Oryctolagus cuniculus: one gene and its partner. The protein of the gene in region 2 interacts with the protein of the main gene of each other region in a pairwise test. Links are inferred from orthologs where the notes say so. Each region holds a gene or a part of one and is shown on either strand. Other genes may lie near its edges. The genes, in order: DUSP1 and MAPK14.

Region 1 (7,560 bases), on a different chromosome or scaffold from region 2:
TTGAAAAGAATGAACACACTTGCCATAGACTGGAAACCCAACCCAGCTGAGGAAATGAGCCTACGAACTCAGGGCAAGTCCTTAGAACACAGGGATCTTTCTGGCCCCGGAGCCAAGCAGCTGGTGGTAGACCCATGGAGAAAGGTCAAGGACACCGCGGTCAGTGTCAAGACCTGGAATCAGGACCTAGGCCAGGACCACGGCACAGAGCATTGCTAGCTAACTTGAAGGGGATATCTCCCTCTCTGCTTCCAACAACACTTGATCCAGCACAAGTCAGCAGGAAGCAGGCCCTAAAAGGGCCTGTAGTAACCCGAGAGAGCTTGGTGGTTATTTAATTCAACATTACAGACTGGATTATGGGTTGGTAGTAAATTACAGCTTCTCTGCTGAGCAAGAGAGAGTACAAATTCAGAATATTACCCTAGAGCAAGTCAAGCTTAATCACCTATCTTCTGCATCAAAATTATGAAATCAGATTAAGCAAGTGGGCAGGAGGAGGCAGCCGCCCCAAACACTGAGCCTTCACCCCCTGAGCCAGTCTGCAGAACTGCTGGCATCAACAGCCTCCCAAGCCATAACAGTGGTCACGCTGCGGGTGAGGGTCTGGCTGGTGATTTATCTGTATTCTATTCGCTTACAGTGCTTGGATTTTTTTTTTTAGCCACTTAATGTATTTTCATAGAAATGAGGGTCTTTACAAAAGCATGTGAGACTGAGTGATAAAACCCAAAGCTCAAAAAATCAGGTAACAAAACGGAACAGCAGGTTCTGATTCCCCTGCTGCCGCTGAGCTAGGCTGGGTCTCCCTATCTTCAGACTGGGCTGTTTTTCTGGGGGCAGGTGGCACACACCGCCTCGCAGTCAGAACACATGTGATCTATGCCAAGTGCTTAGACACAGCCTAGAGTGGAGGGAGACTTTTTATATCATCCTGAGAACGGTATTCCATGAAAAGGCAACCCAGGCCAAGTGGCTGTGGGGACACGAGGGCATCCCAGGTGACACGGCAGATGACACCACTGTTAAAAAGGGAACGGGGCATTCTCACCCTCTCTAGTAAGACTTGCAGCGCTGATGTCTCCCGACAGACCTCTTGTCCACCTCCCTTATGACTCGGCTACCTCACGGGACCAAGTGGCCACGGAGGGGCACAGGATCAGACCCTCATCCAAATTCTTCCCTATTTCACTTGCAGGAGAGGAGCTGGCTGAGGCAGCCAAAGAAATAAAAGCCTTGAGATTTCAATAGAAATGCCATAATTTATTCTGTTGTATAAAAAAGTCATCCTTACGTAACAAAATGTCTTCTTAGAAGAAGAAATATATTATTTCAGGTCATAAATAATCAGCAAACATACAACTGTTGGCAACTAAAAAAAAAAAAAAGAAAAAAACAAACAAAAAGCCAACACTGGTGTCTTCCCTCAGTGCTGGAAACAACCTGCTCTGGGTCTATTTACAGGACGGTACAGTACTCAAAACACAAAAATTGAGGTATTTGGTTCTTCTAGAAGTAGACACTGACATGTGTGAAGGCGGACCACCTACACAAAAATAAATAAGGGATAGTCTCATATGTGTATGTCTTCAGGAATGGTAATACTGGTAGGTGTGCCAAGCACGAAGATTTCTACAAAAAAACAGGGGCCAGCAACAAAGACATGGGCTCAAACAGTCCTCCTCTCCTGCCCTGTTTTGTCGGAGGGACTTGATGTACCCACTACACATTGGTCCCCGTGTGCTGGGTGCGACACGCATCTTGCTGTCACCGCTACCACTGCAGAGGAGCCCAGTGGAAGCCAGGTGACGTTACATAAATAAGGCCCGGTGTGCGCTCGTGAGCCCCCTCCCGGGAGTCATTGCCTTTCTCCACCAAGGAGGAAGCCTGGAGTCCCGGGCGCGCGTGGAGGTGGAGGTGGCGCTCCTAGCCCCGCCCCGGCCTCTCAGCAGCTGGGGGAGGTGGTGATGGGGCTCTGAAGGTAGCTCAGGGCACTGTTCGTGGGGTGTACGGGAATGGAGACGGGGAAGTTGAAGACAGTGGTGGTGGCGGTGCCGCGGTCCAGCACAGCCATGGCGGGGCTGCTGGCCTCCGCCGAGCAGTGCGGGGCCAGCACCTGCGATTCAAACTGCAGCAGCTGGCCCATGAAGCTGAAGTTGGGGGAGATGATGCTCCGTCTCTGCTTCACGAACTCAAAGGCCTCGTCCAGCTTCACGCGGTTAGTCCTCATGAGGTAAGCGAGGCAGATGGTGGCGGACCGGGAGATGCCCGCCTGGCAGTGGACGAACACCCTTCCTCCGGCATTTCTGATGGAGTCTGGAAAACAAGAAGTGCGGCTGCTTACTAGAGAGCTCGGGAGAGGGACCCCAAGTCCAGGCAAAAAGCGTCAAAGAACAATGTCACACGTGTCCTACCCAGGCGGCCAACATCACCTTACGCTAGCCCATGGACTTATGCTATCATGGAGGGCACCGTGCAAAGGGGCAGCAAGGGACTAAACCCAGATGGGGTGTCTCCACTTAGCAGGTTGATTCTGGGCAAGTCCACTTGCCAAGCCTCGGTTTGCTCATGCGCAGGGTGGGACATCAAGTCCTCATTCTGCAAGGATGATGTCCACCCGAGATGGACAGTTCATGTCTGGTGGATGGCTCACAAGAGCAGCACCCAAGTCCTCTGCCAGACAGGTTGAAACGGGGAGGCATCAGCAGTGCCGGGCGTCCGTCCCACTCACCTATGAAGTCGATGGCCTCGCTGAACCAGGAGCTGATGTCTGCCTTGTGGTTGTCCTCCACAGGGATGCTCTTGTACTGATAGTGACCCTCAAAGTGGTTGGGACAGTTGGCTGAGACGTTGATCAAGGCCGTGATGCCCAGGGCATCCAGCATGTCCTTGCGGGAAGCGTGATAGGCACTGCCCAGGTATAGGAAGGGCAAGATCTCCACCGGGCCACCCTGTGAGGCAGAAAGACCCAAACACTGCTCAGGCCGGCTCCAGGGCACCACCAGCACCCACACCCACAAAAACTCCCCAGTGGAAAAGTCAGTGGTGAACTTCTCAGTACCCCTGCTGCTGCTGCTGGAGTATAAACAAACAGGGGTCTAAGCCCATGTGCCCCTGGCAGCACCAGCCAGTTCATTTCTGTAGTGCCATGCATCAGACACGCAGAGCCATTGAGTGTCCCCAAGTCCCCTTTATAAATAAAGCTGCAGGTCACTTTCCACGTTCTCACGGGCACCCTCTTCCAAGCCTTGCTGGCCCCGACTCCTCCCCTCTGGCACGGGGCCCCACTGACCTGATCGTAGAGCGGGGTGCTGCAGGAGCTGCATCCGGATTCCGCGCTGTCCGGGATACTGGTGGTCAGGGGAAGGCTGAGCCCCATGGGGGTCGACTGTTTGCTGCACAGTTCTGGGCAGGACGCCGAAAACGCCTCATAACCTCCTGGCAACAGAGAGAGGAAGGTTTGCTTCCATCAGCATCGTTGAGCCAAGGTCCCTTCCCACAAAGCCCCCACCCCACCAGGCGCTCCAAGTTCATATCGCTAAGGCCCAAGCAAGTCTTTGTTCCCAGGACCAGACAAAGCCGGTGTGACAAGTCCCCAGAGCCACAACGCCGCGCCCATGCGCTCCAGGTAGGACTCGGGCGCCGGTCCCCGCCCCCACTAGAGAGCCAAGGGCCAAGGGGCCCCCGGCAAGGCAGCGCTGCCCCGAGGTCGTACCTTTGAGGAAGAAGACGTGCGCGGCGCGCGCCTCCCGGCACAGCGCGCCCGCCGCCAGGGCCAGGGTGCCGTCGCGCTTGGCGCCGTCCAGGGCGACACTGCGCTCGTCCAGCAGCACCACGGCGTGGTAGGCGCCGGCCAGCAGGCGGCCGCGCAGCTCGGCGTTGGGCACGATGTGCTCCAGCCCCATGGCGCCCTTGGCCCGGCGCCGCACGATGGTGCTGAAGCGCACGTTGACCGAGCCGGCGATGTGGCCAGCGTTGAAAGCGAAGAAGGAGCGGCAATCCAGCACCAGGCACTGCGCCGCGCGCTCCCGCAGCAGCGTCCGCAGGCCTCCGGCGTCCAGGATGCCCACCTCCATGACCATGGCCGGCCTCAGAGCCCCCAGCGTGCACGTCGCTCCGGAGTCCTTTGTCTGTCCCCGGACGCCAAGAGCAGAGCGGCGACGGCTTTCGAGGAAAAGTCCGACCCCGACTCTCTGGGCGCGGAACAAGACACTGCCTTTGGGCCGAGCGAAGGGCGTCACACGGGACTGCAGCCACCCGGGCTTTCTCCAGCCGCTCCCGGGACCGTCCCTGCTCCGGCGACCGCAGCGCCTCTCCTACAATCCAGTCGTCCTTCTCGACGAGCTCGGCCCCGGGGAGTGCAGTTATATGGGCCTCTCCGGGGGCGGGGCGGGGCGGGGCTGGCGCGCGCTGGGAGGGGGAAGGGGGGTTTGTTTGTTTGAATGGCGGCCACGTGACCGGGTGGTGACGTCACCCACCCGGCCCGGCCCGGCGCCACCAGAGCCAGAGGCAAAGACGTCATCGGCCTCGGAGCGGGGTGCGCTCCCCGCGAGCTGGCTCGCGCCCCAGCCCCGGCCTGCTCCTGGCTCGTCCCCAGAGACCCAGCCGGCTCGGCTCGGCTCGGCTGTACGCGCCCCGCGGGAGGACAGGGGCGCGCTGCCAGCCGAAGGCTGACCTCCGCCACCTGCCTCGGCCTCTCGGCGCTCGGCGCCGCCGCTGGGTCCTCTCGGCCGCTCGCCTCGTGTCCTCGCTAACGGGCCGGGCTGCCGGGGTCCCGACGGCCAGCGTGGAGGGTGGGGGGCGGCGGAGAGGAGCTCACGATGTGGACCGGGGAGGGCGGGCGGAGAATGAACAACTCTGTCCCTGGAAATGGCGTCCCCACCAGGAGAGAGGCCGGAGTGAGAAAGAAAGAAAAACTTTGTATACGTTGAGCAAGAACAATGGCGTCCAGTGAGCCACCCCACCCCCCATCTCCGCCGCGGGACAAATAGCTCCTCTAGTCATGTAGTCCCTACGAGGTTGGAGCAGAGGAAGGCAGAGCGCGGGGCGGCAAGCCCGGGGCGGGGGGCGCGCGGGTCGGCGCCTGGGGACGGGCCGGGCGGCTCCACTGGGGTCGCTGGTGCGCGCGCGCGCGTGTTACCTTGGCTCGAGGCCGAGGCCCCTGGGCCCCGGCTTTGCGCACCCCAGCCCCATTGCGCGCCCTCGTAGCGTCTGCCCAGCGCTCCCCAGCTCACAACCCAGCCACGCGCGGGGAGAGCGGCTGCAAGACGCGCGCCCCGAGCCCTGCTGACCACCCCCTGGGCAGGAGAGCCGCCTTCGCGGCGACAGCGGCATGTCGGGTCCACAAACAAACCTTGCGCCACCGGCCGAGTGCAGAATCGGGAACATTCTGCGGTTTCCCCTCTGCTCTCCTGGGGGGAGGGGTGTTCGCTGCCAGCCTGCGTCGTCCCTCTGTGGGTTCTAACACCAGAGACAGCTTCTCCCTTTGCCTAGCGTAGCTTGTGCCAAGTGCCATGCAGAGACTTTGTGCTCAGATGCTTCTAGAAACGTGTGTTTGTTAAACTAGTGTTCCACCTTCCTTGGACCCTTGGCCCAGGACAACAGTAAAGCAGGCTTCAGATAAGAGGGGAAAGATGGCGAGAAAGAAGAAAAAAAAATGAATCCTCTGTTTGTTTATTCTACTTCAGCTGAGGAACTCAACATATTTTTGCGTTGAATCACAGAATGTTCGGGCTGCTGACTTTTCTCTGCATACCAACTTGATCCGTCCCAAATTTTTTTTTTAACCAAGAGTATTCATTTTACATTCCTCTACCCAAATGTTTCAAAAAGAGCCCCTTTTTATACAAATGGCACAGTGGTCGTGGCACAGTCCAGCCCTCGAGTTGGGAGTCTGCGGGCCTCGTGAGTTTTCCCTCTCATCCCTTGCTGGAAAGGGTACAAAAGCTGGCATGAACCCCAGGGTCGTTTTGATTTCTTATTCCCCAAGTGATGTGCAAGCCCACACCTCTTCAGTGGGTCTGTCCCAGCCGACCTTGTGGAGGGCTTGAGGTCCCAGATGAGAGCGGCTGAAGCCAACCCCTCCTGCGCTGCTTCTCCTTGTGATTCACTCAACATCTCGGGTTTCCCCTTCCCAGCAGAGCAGTTCTCATGCGTTTCAGGGTCTGGCCGCAGAAGCGAGAGGCAGTCGGGCAAGCCAGCGGCTTGGGAGAGGGACATGGGCCAGCTCAGAGAAAGGTCCCTCCTTAGCACAATGGGGCACATCCACGGCTCACCTGCCCAGAGCCAGGTGGTAAAGGTGTAGCCACCGGGGCTCCCAATCCAGGCTGTGGAGACGCTGCTCCTGGCTAGGGGTGGAGCTAAGCAGAGGCTCCCCATAACCTGGCCTCCAATGACTGCAGAGAGAGCGGGGGGCTGGCACCAGGGGCCTGGCTGGCAGGAGGGTATGAAGCAGGATGAATCAGCCTGTGTTGACTCATGGGTGTCTCTGAGTTGGGCCCTTCCTGGTTCCAGATGTGCTAAGACAGGAGCCTATAGGCGGTATGAGGCAGTGGGAAGGACCTAGGGCCGCGCACGCCCCCAGAAGCCAGTGCCTCACCGTGTGGTCTTCAGTAGGTTCCTTCCCTTCACTGAGCCCTCCCTCTCTCCCTTGTGATGGACAGATAATCACATCTTGGAGGGCTGTGTAGCCATGACTGGCACCGGCCTGCAATCCCTGGCCGAATCCTGCTCTCAGAGTTGACTTCAAATCTGCCATGGGGTCATGGGAAAGCAGGGTGGCGCTCCCACTTGTCGCTCCCCGTCTTCGTGGAGGAACGACACAGGACCCTGCGCTGTTCTTTCGTCTGCTCGGCCCTCCCCGGGTTTGCTGCTGGTTCTTCCCGGGTTGGCTGCTGGTCCTTCCCGGGTTGGCTACCATCCCTTCCACCTCCGTGGAAGGGCGGTTCCCCCTGCCACATTCCCCACTTCCGCGGGGGAGCGGCACACCGCCGGCCGGCTCTCTCGGGGGCTACACAGGTGTTCCCCTTAGATGTTCCTGGTGCATGCCGTCTCTCTCCTCCTTTATAGTCCTCCTCCGCCAATCCTAACTCGGCTGCCCACATGCTGAGTACGCTGCTCTCCTCCAATCAGGAGCAGGTCCTGCAGCTTGTAAAGTTGGTGAGAGGCAGCTGGGTAGAAGCTGTTGCCTCCTCTCCCAGCGCCATATTGTGGGAGAGCAGATGCATAGAATAAGTCTTAATTCCAGTAACTCAGTCCAGTCCGGGTTGCTCCCCACACCACTGATGGCCATCAGAAAGTGGCCCTGGCTCAGCGTGGGCCCTGTGAGCCTGCACACATGGCTCAGCATTTCCCCACTTGCACCGTGGGAGTGCGGCCTTTCTGGGACTAGGTGGAATGCTGTGTGAGAATCTCTCCCGCCTGGGCTGTGTGGTGATTCCTCCCCTTGCTCAGGACCTGCTGAGAGTTGCTACTTCCCACCGAACCCACAGCCCCCTGCCCCTGGACCTCCCACACTCTGATTTTCCTGTCGTGCTCCAGGAGAACTCAGTGGACCTGTGC
Region 2 (7,436 bases):
ACCAAGCACGTGGGCCATTTCTGCTGCCTTCCCAGGCACAATACCAGGGAGCTGGATCAGAAGCAGAGGAACCACGACTTGAACTGACAATCTGCATGGGATGCTGGTGTTGCAAGTGGCAGCTTACCCTGCTGCACCACAACGCTGGCCCCATAATGATGTGGTTTTATTTATTTGTGCCCTTGCTCATTTCAAGTGATGGTCACTAATACTAAAAAAAATTAGCTTCATTCATATTTTATAATATTTATTGGAACAATTCTGTTCCACAAAGCACTTAGGAATTTGGACTTAATTCCTTAGTAAATTGAACAAACATTTTGTTATGTAATTTATGTGCTGATGATAAAGTACATAACACAATGCCTGGAACAGAGTAAGCAAGCAATCCTTACATTGCGGTTACTAAAACTCCTAGGCCATAAGCTCCAAGAGGGAATGAGCTGTCTTGTTCTGTTTTGCTGAGCCTTCTATCTCAAAAACCCAGCCCCCTATCTGGCCCATAGTTGGTATGCAACAAATACATATTACTGAATAAGTAGTTGAATAGAACCCAAGAGTAATTCTCAACTCCCACCTCCTATTGTGTGTTTCCCAGTTCCCTACCTCCTCTAATCAATAGCAAGGGACTGGAAAAAAGTACCCCAGAGGAAAGGCACTTAAGTTCCTGTTTACATTTCCTCAAACTCACCACAAAGTTTCTTCCCTTATGTCCCAAAACCACAAAATCAATGCCTTGCAGCAACATATTCTTAACAGTTTTGCTTCATTTCCCCTTGCAGACAATGCACAAAGTTCCTTAAAACTGCAAAACTGCTTAGTTAGTTCCCTTTACCCTTTAAAAAGAAAAGGCATATTTATGAAACCCTACCAATGCTCAAATTGCTAGTACGATTCCTTGATCTTTGATTCTAGTAGGTTATCACATAGGCTACCGGCTTTTATTTTTTACCATATATTTTATACAAATTAAAATAATAAAAATAGGCTTAAATGTTTTTTCAAAGGTTATACATCAAAGCTATCATATTTCAGAATATAGGAAACTGACATATTTCAATGCGTAGGTTGCGTTCCTTAAAATAAAATTGAGAGATACTTCAGGTCCAGTTAGACAAGTCACAAAAAACTGTGTCATTACGCTAATTTCTGACTCCTATCTGACCTACAACAGAATTGTCAACCTGACTGCTTGATCATTTTCATTAGACTTGAGTCCAAACTCCCTAAACTATTTGAATTCAAATTAACTGCTATTCCCTAAAAGCAAATCTGCTCTCAAAGGATAGACAGAGAAAAGTAACATGGGTAGCAAAGTGGATTCTAACAGCAGTTCCAAAAATTGTTCTTTCCCACACCTGAAAAGCTGCTAATTGGAAAAAAAAAAAACTTCAAATAACTACAGTACTTACTCGGATGAGATAACACTTACTTGTAACTCTAAATTCTGGTATTTACATTCCAAAATCAGATACATTTTTAAACAGTCAACTGTTACATAATTCCAGTTGTATTTTCTTCCACCAATATATCCAAGTTGCATCTTAAATGCTGCATTTAAGTTACAGCTTTAGAAATGCTGCTAAATAAGCAAGCAACCAAAACAACTCTGTCTCCCCTAAAGACACATAAGAAACAACAGCGGTTCTCTCTGCGAAAGGGAATAGCATGGCTGGAGAACAGAAAGGAGAGGGGACTTTTCACTGAGTAACTTCCTTCTGAATTTTATACAATGTTAATGTATTTCCTATTTTTAAAGAACTGTTTAACCAAAACACTTTCAAGTGTCAGATACTGCTGGCTTGGACGCTACAGAAAGCACAGTACTAAAGAAACGTGCAGTTCAGCTTGATGACACCACATTGCAAATCTGCGTCTCTGTTCCAGCACAGAGCAAGTCATACCAGCAACAAGAAAACCTTGCCAGCAGTTGAATTCAAGTTCATCCACAGTCCCTAGAGTTGAGTTGTCCCGCTATTATCAGTCCATGAATGCTTAAATATCACCGGAAACAAAAACTTGATGAATACTATGAAAATTCATGTGTCAACTCAAGAATGAAAAAACAGGGGCAGGCGTTGTGGCACAGCAAGTTAAACCTGCTGCCTGCAAAGCTGGTATCCCATATGCACTCCAGTTGGAGTCCTGGCTGCTCCACTTCTATACATCTCCCAGCTAACGTATCTGGGAAAGCAGCAGAAGATGGCCCAAGTGCTTGGGCCCCTTCACCCACATGGGAGACCAGGATGAAGTTCCAGGTGCCTGACTTCAGCCTAACCCAGCCCTGGTTGTTACAGCCATTTGAGGAGTGAACCAGGGAGAAGCTTTCTCTCTCTCTCTCTCCCTCTAACTCTGCCTTTCAAATACATAATTTTTTTTAAAAAAAATGGAAAATGGAGGGGGTGGCACTGTGGTGCAGTAGGTTAAATCTCCATATGGGTGCCAGTTTGAGTCCCGGCAGTTTGATTCTCGGCTGCTCCTCTTCCGATCCAGTTCTCTGTTGAGGCCTGGGAAAGCAGTAGAAAATGGCTCAATTTTTAAGCACCTGTACTCATGTGGGAGATCTAGAAGAAGCTCCTGGCTCCTGGCTTCAGATTGGCCCACCTCCAGCGGTTGTGACCATTTGGGGAGTGAACTGGCGGATTGAAGACCTATCTCTCCATCTCTCCCTTTCAACTGCCTGTAACTCTACCTCTCAAATAAATAAATAAAACCTTAAAAAGAATGAAAAATGGAGGTATATTAATGAGCCCATAAATTTTTTTTTCAAAGATTTTATTTGAGTGATAGAGTTACAGACAGAGAGAAGAGAGACATAGAGAAAGGTCTTTCATCTGCTGTAAAGGCCAGAGCTGGGCTGATTTGAAGCCAGGAGCCAGGAGTCTCCTCTGGATCTCCCACCTGGGTGCAGGGGCCCAAGGACTTGGGCCATCTTCCATTGCTTTCCCAGGCCACAGTAGAGAGCTGGATCAGAAGTGGAGCCACCAGGACTCAAGTCTGCGCACATGTGGGATAACAGCACCACAGCGCTGGCCACAGAGTCCTTAAATTTTAAAGGAGCAATTATCTAAATACACCTCTGAAAATTAGCAAATCAATAACTAGTATATATACTAACTAAAAAAGCTTCAAATTCCTTGAAAAGGTTAACTGCCACAGCGTAAAAGTGGGAGAAAGATGTCAGCCACGGTGACACCTGCAGCATTACTCAAGCGGCTTGAACTAGAAAATGCAATACGATCTGTTGCTGGACACAATTGCACAATCTCAATTACCCAGAAGATTCTACCAAACAGGAAATTCATGATGTGATTTTAAGAAACACGGGAATCATATTTAAAGATGAACAAATCCAAAAGCCTGGAATTTGTTCCGAACAAAACAAAACAAAAAAAGCATTTTCCTAGCTCCTTTTCCACCCATGCATGCCCAGGAATTGATAAAACAGGAAAAAGCTTACTATGAAGCCGGACACTTAGTTTCAGATCAGGAGCTCTCAAAAGATACTAAGTATAAAATACAGTGTCTAAGGCCTTGGAAGTTAGAGAAGTCAGTGAAATACTTCAGGTCTGGAAATGTCCTGGTGTCAACTTAAATACAGGCACCTTGTAAAGGACAGCTGGCCGGTGTCTAACTTTCTTCTCCTGGAAGTTCCCGATCCTAACGAAAACCAAGTGTATCTCAGGCCATAGCCACAGATAAGGTCTCTGCACACTCTCCAAGGGGCCTTAAAAATACACGATTCACAGGAATTATCTCAACTTTCAAATATTCACAGTAGCTCCCTGCACCGTGAGCGACTTTTGGGTTTCGAGGGCACGCGGCGGAGGGATCCGAGGCTCCCCTGCTCCCCGTGAGAACCCTGCTTCGTCAAACAATACTTTAAATGAGCAGTGGTATGTGACTAATCAGCCAGGCCGCCAGTTTCTCAAGCGGCAGCCACCACCGCCGCCCTCCACGGAAAGGAAACACGCTCTCGACCGAATCGGAAACACACCACTCAAGCTGGCACAGGGCTCGCCGAGATAAAGCCGATATTTTAAGCCCTATGGGTCGCTGCGAATTCAAAAAGAACGCTTCTCCAGACGGGATTTCCACAGAGGTTTGCAAAAAAGAAGGAAAGAAAGAAAAGCCTGGAGGGGGCTACCTTCGTCGTCAGTTTTGTTCAGACCACCCGATCTCCCAACCGGGTTCTGCTTTCTCCCGCAGCTCCCCGGGTCGTCCGCGCCCCCGGGACGGGTGCACCCCCGGGAGAGGGTCCTTCTGCAAAGTGTTCGTAGGGACCCCCCTCCCCAGCTCCCCGCAGAACAGCCGCCCCTCCCCCAGGGCCTGCCCCCCGGGGGGGAGCAGCGCTCAGCGAAACGAAAGCGCAGGGCGTGCGCCAGGAGCGAGCTCCAGCCAGCACCACCACCTACCGCCCACAGCGGACCTGCGCCTGCACGCAATGGACCACCGCCCTGGGCGTGCAGGCTGCGGGATGCAGGGGGTGCAGGGACAGCCATGCTCTCCCTCGGGGGAAATTCCTGCCGCTGGGCGCATAGCGGAGCCGCGGGGGCAGGCCTGGCCCTCGGGCACCAGGGGCCACCCTACCCACCGCGGCCCCGGGCCTAGCAACACTCACCACACGGAGCCATAGGCGCCAGAGCCCACCGGGGACAGATTCTGGTAACGCTCGGGCACCTCCCAGATTGTCTTGTTCAGCTCCTGCCGATAGAACGTGGGCCTCTCCTGAGACATTTTCCAGCGACGGCCGCGGGGCGAGGAGGTGGCCCTGAGGTGCCCCCGCCTGCACCCACGCCCGCTCCCCGGCCCTCGTCGCCCGCCCAGGCGGGCGGGGACCTCGCGCTGGCCGCCGCGCAGGTGCGGCTGCTGAGACCCCCGCAGACACCCGCGCGTGCGGCCCCTGTCAGCTGCAGCTGCTGGACGCGCCTCAGGGACCGAGGCGAGCCCGGCAAAGGGCAGGAGCGCGCTCCGAGGCTGAGGGCTGCGCCCGCCGGGGTCTCCCTGCACCCTCTCCCGGGCCGGGCCGACGGCGGGCCGTGCCGCTGGACTCCCGCTCCAGTTGCAGCGCCAGCTGAGGCTCCAGTGGTCGCAGTTCCAGAGCCAGCGAACAGGAGCCGCCTGCCGTCCTCTCGCGAGATCAGCTCCCGGGACTCTCCGCGAGCCGAGATTTTACCCAATATGGAACCTCCCCGCGGGAGGGGGTTCGGGAGGAGAGAGCGCCGGAGGAGCAGTTCTCGCGAGAAGAGAGCAACAGCTGGAGCCCAGAGGCAGGAACTCCCGGGGACTGTTCTTCGGGGCGCCGAGGCGGACGGCTAAGGCGGGGATGCTCGCGCACCACAGGCCGCGCGCGCCCCACTGTGGTTGGTGGGGCTGTAGTGCCTGACCACTGCGGAGAGCGACGGGGACGAGTAAGCGTGTCGGGAAAAGAGCCAACAGATCTTGGAACTGCGGCCGAGCACCTGCTCGGTGGAACTCCGCCGTTTCCAAGAAATACCGGCGTCAAAAACTGGTTCCAGTCAGAAGGCCGTCGCATTCCCGTGTGCTCATGGACAGATGGCTAACCCTCCGGGACGCTGACGAAATCGGCCCCAAAGACAAATATTAGCCCCGCTGGAAGCCGAGACTTTGCACCCGAACGGGTGCAAAGGTCGCCCCGGGACCCTCAGGGGCCTCTGCGGGGGTCGGGGCCGTACAGGTGGCTCTGATGTGTCTTAAAAGCCGTGGCCCCGAAGCTTATAAACCGACTTCGGCCCCAAGAGCAGTCCTGAGAAGAGGACTTGGAGATTTTAAGTGGGGGCTCTCCCAGGAAGGCGGAGGAGCAGGGAGTGCGCTTGTGGCAATGTCGCTTTTAGGCAAGCCGGTAGGCCCTGCTCAGTTGCAAGAGAACTCCGGTCCTCCGTTCCCACCTCATAGGGACAAGAAAATACCCGCGAGTGGGCAAGTGTTGTAACCCCAGGCCCATACCTACTGGTGCTGGCCCGGCCCGTGCTAACGCCTGCTACCCTGAGCGCAAGGATGGGAGTCTATCTTGTCCTCCGATCCTTTGAGGGCCACCCCAGGACAGGGGCCGAGGGCTCCCACGGCCGTGTTCTCCTTCCTCGCCCCCGCTCTCGTTGCCCGCCCGCCCCGAACGCCCGCGGGTTCGGCCGCAACGGCTCGGGAACCGCCGGCGTCCGGGTCGGCAGCGCTGCCAGCCAGGCCAGAGCCCTGGGAGACCCGAGCCGCCCGCCGCACTCCCGCCTCGGGCGGGGAAACAGGTGAGCTGCTGCCAGGGCCGCCCGGGAGGCGGGGCTGCAGGCAGAGAGTCGCGGGTCGCGGGCCGGGCTGGGTCCGCCGCCCGCAGCGGGGTCCCGCACGTCGCGGGCGCTCGCTCGGTCAATATTGGTAGAGTGAGTGGCTGACGACGGTGCCTGGAAGCTTATCTCCCGCCTCTGCTTTGAACGGCCGCGTGGAACGGCACCGGCAAGAGGCAGTTCGTGCCCTTTGCAAGCGGACTCCTTCCAGACGCCCTGGAGTTGGCTCGCCCGCCCCGTCGGTCTCGTCACTTTATGCTCCCTGACTGAACCCCTTCCCGATCCCTTGGCTCCTCCTCTTCCCATCCAATCCTGTTTATGCACGGGCGTCCCCCGGCGAAGAGGCGAAGACTGCTGCAACACCCCGGTCCCCATTCTGAGTCAGGCCAGCGCCAGCCCCACTCTTGCTTTGTTGGATGGAGGGCAGTCACGCCCAGCCGCTAGACAGTGGCCGAAGGAACTTGGAAATGATGCTCTTTGCTGCCGGCGCCGCGGCTCATCACGCTAATCCTCCACCTATGGTGCCGGTACCCCGGGTTCTAGTCCCGGTTGGGGCGACGGATTCTGTCCCGGTTGCCCCTCTTCCAGTCCAGCTCTCTGCTGTGGCCCGGGAGGGTAGTGGAGGATGGCCCAAGTCCATGGGCCCTACACCCGCATGGGAGACCAGGAGGAAGCTCCTGGCTCCTGGCTTCGGATCAGAGCAGCGCCGGCCGTAGCGGCCATTTGGGGAGTGAACCAACAGAAGGAAGACCTTTCTCTCTGTCTCTGTCTCTCTCACTAACTCTGCCTGTCAAAAGAAAAAAAAAAAAAAGAAAATGATGCTCTTTGCTTATGCCTTCTCTGTGTTTCAAATGCATTAGGATAAAAATCCTAATGGTAACAGTCTAAGAGGCGTGTGTGAGCGAATTACAAGTTACTTTCAAATTTTGGAAGTGAATTTTGCCTTCCCATGCTTATAGGGAACATATGGAAGACTCTCACAATTAAATGAGTCCTTTGGATGTCACATCTATTGGGTCAGCAGACAGAAAATTGGGTTGTATTTAAATGTTGTATTCTTGGCTTTTAAAATACTTTGAAGACAGCTTATGTAAATGGGTGGATAAGGGTAGGTTGCCTGTATTTCAGCTGTCCAACAAC

The links.
Region 1: the proteins of MAPK14 (region 2) and DUSP1 interact in binary tests that used the Homo sapiens proteins (3 or more experiments, as listed by UniProt). The link is inferred for Oryctolagus cuniculus from reciprocal best matches to the Homo sapiens genes MAPK14 and DUSP1.

Annotation. Positions count from the first base shown.
Region 1 is NC_091437.1:59,320,392-59,327,951, forward strand, and holds DUSP1 (dual specificity protein phosphatase 1), read right to left. Parts: upstream 4,359-7,560; 5' UTR 4,083-4,358; coding exon 3,716-4,082; intron 3,439-3,715; coding exon 3,293-3,438; intron 2,952-3,292; coding exon 2,732-2,951; intron 2,317-2,731; coding exon 1,946-2,316; 3' UTR 1,243-1,945; downstream 1-1,242. UniProt on the Homo sapiens protein: Dual specificity phosphatase that dephosphorylates MAP kinase MAPK1/ERK2 on both 'Thr-183' and 'Tyr-185', regulating its activity during the meiotic cell cycle.
Region 2 is NC_091436.1:133,476,673-133,484,108, forward strand, and holds the start of MAPK14 (mitogen-activated protein kinase 14), read right to left. Parts: upstream 5,101-7,436; 5' UTR 4,738-5,100; coding exon 4,622-4,737; intron 4,030-4,621; exon of another isoform or gene 3,895-4,029; intron 1-3,894. UniProt on the Homo sapiens protein: Serine/threonine kinase which acts as an essential component of the MAP kinase signal transduction pathway.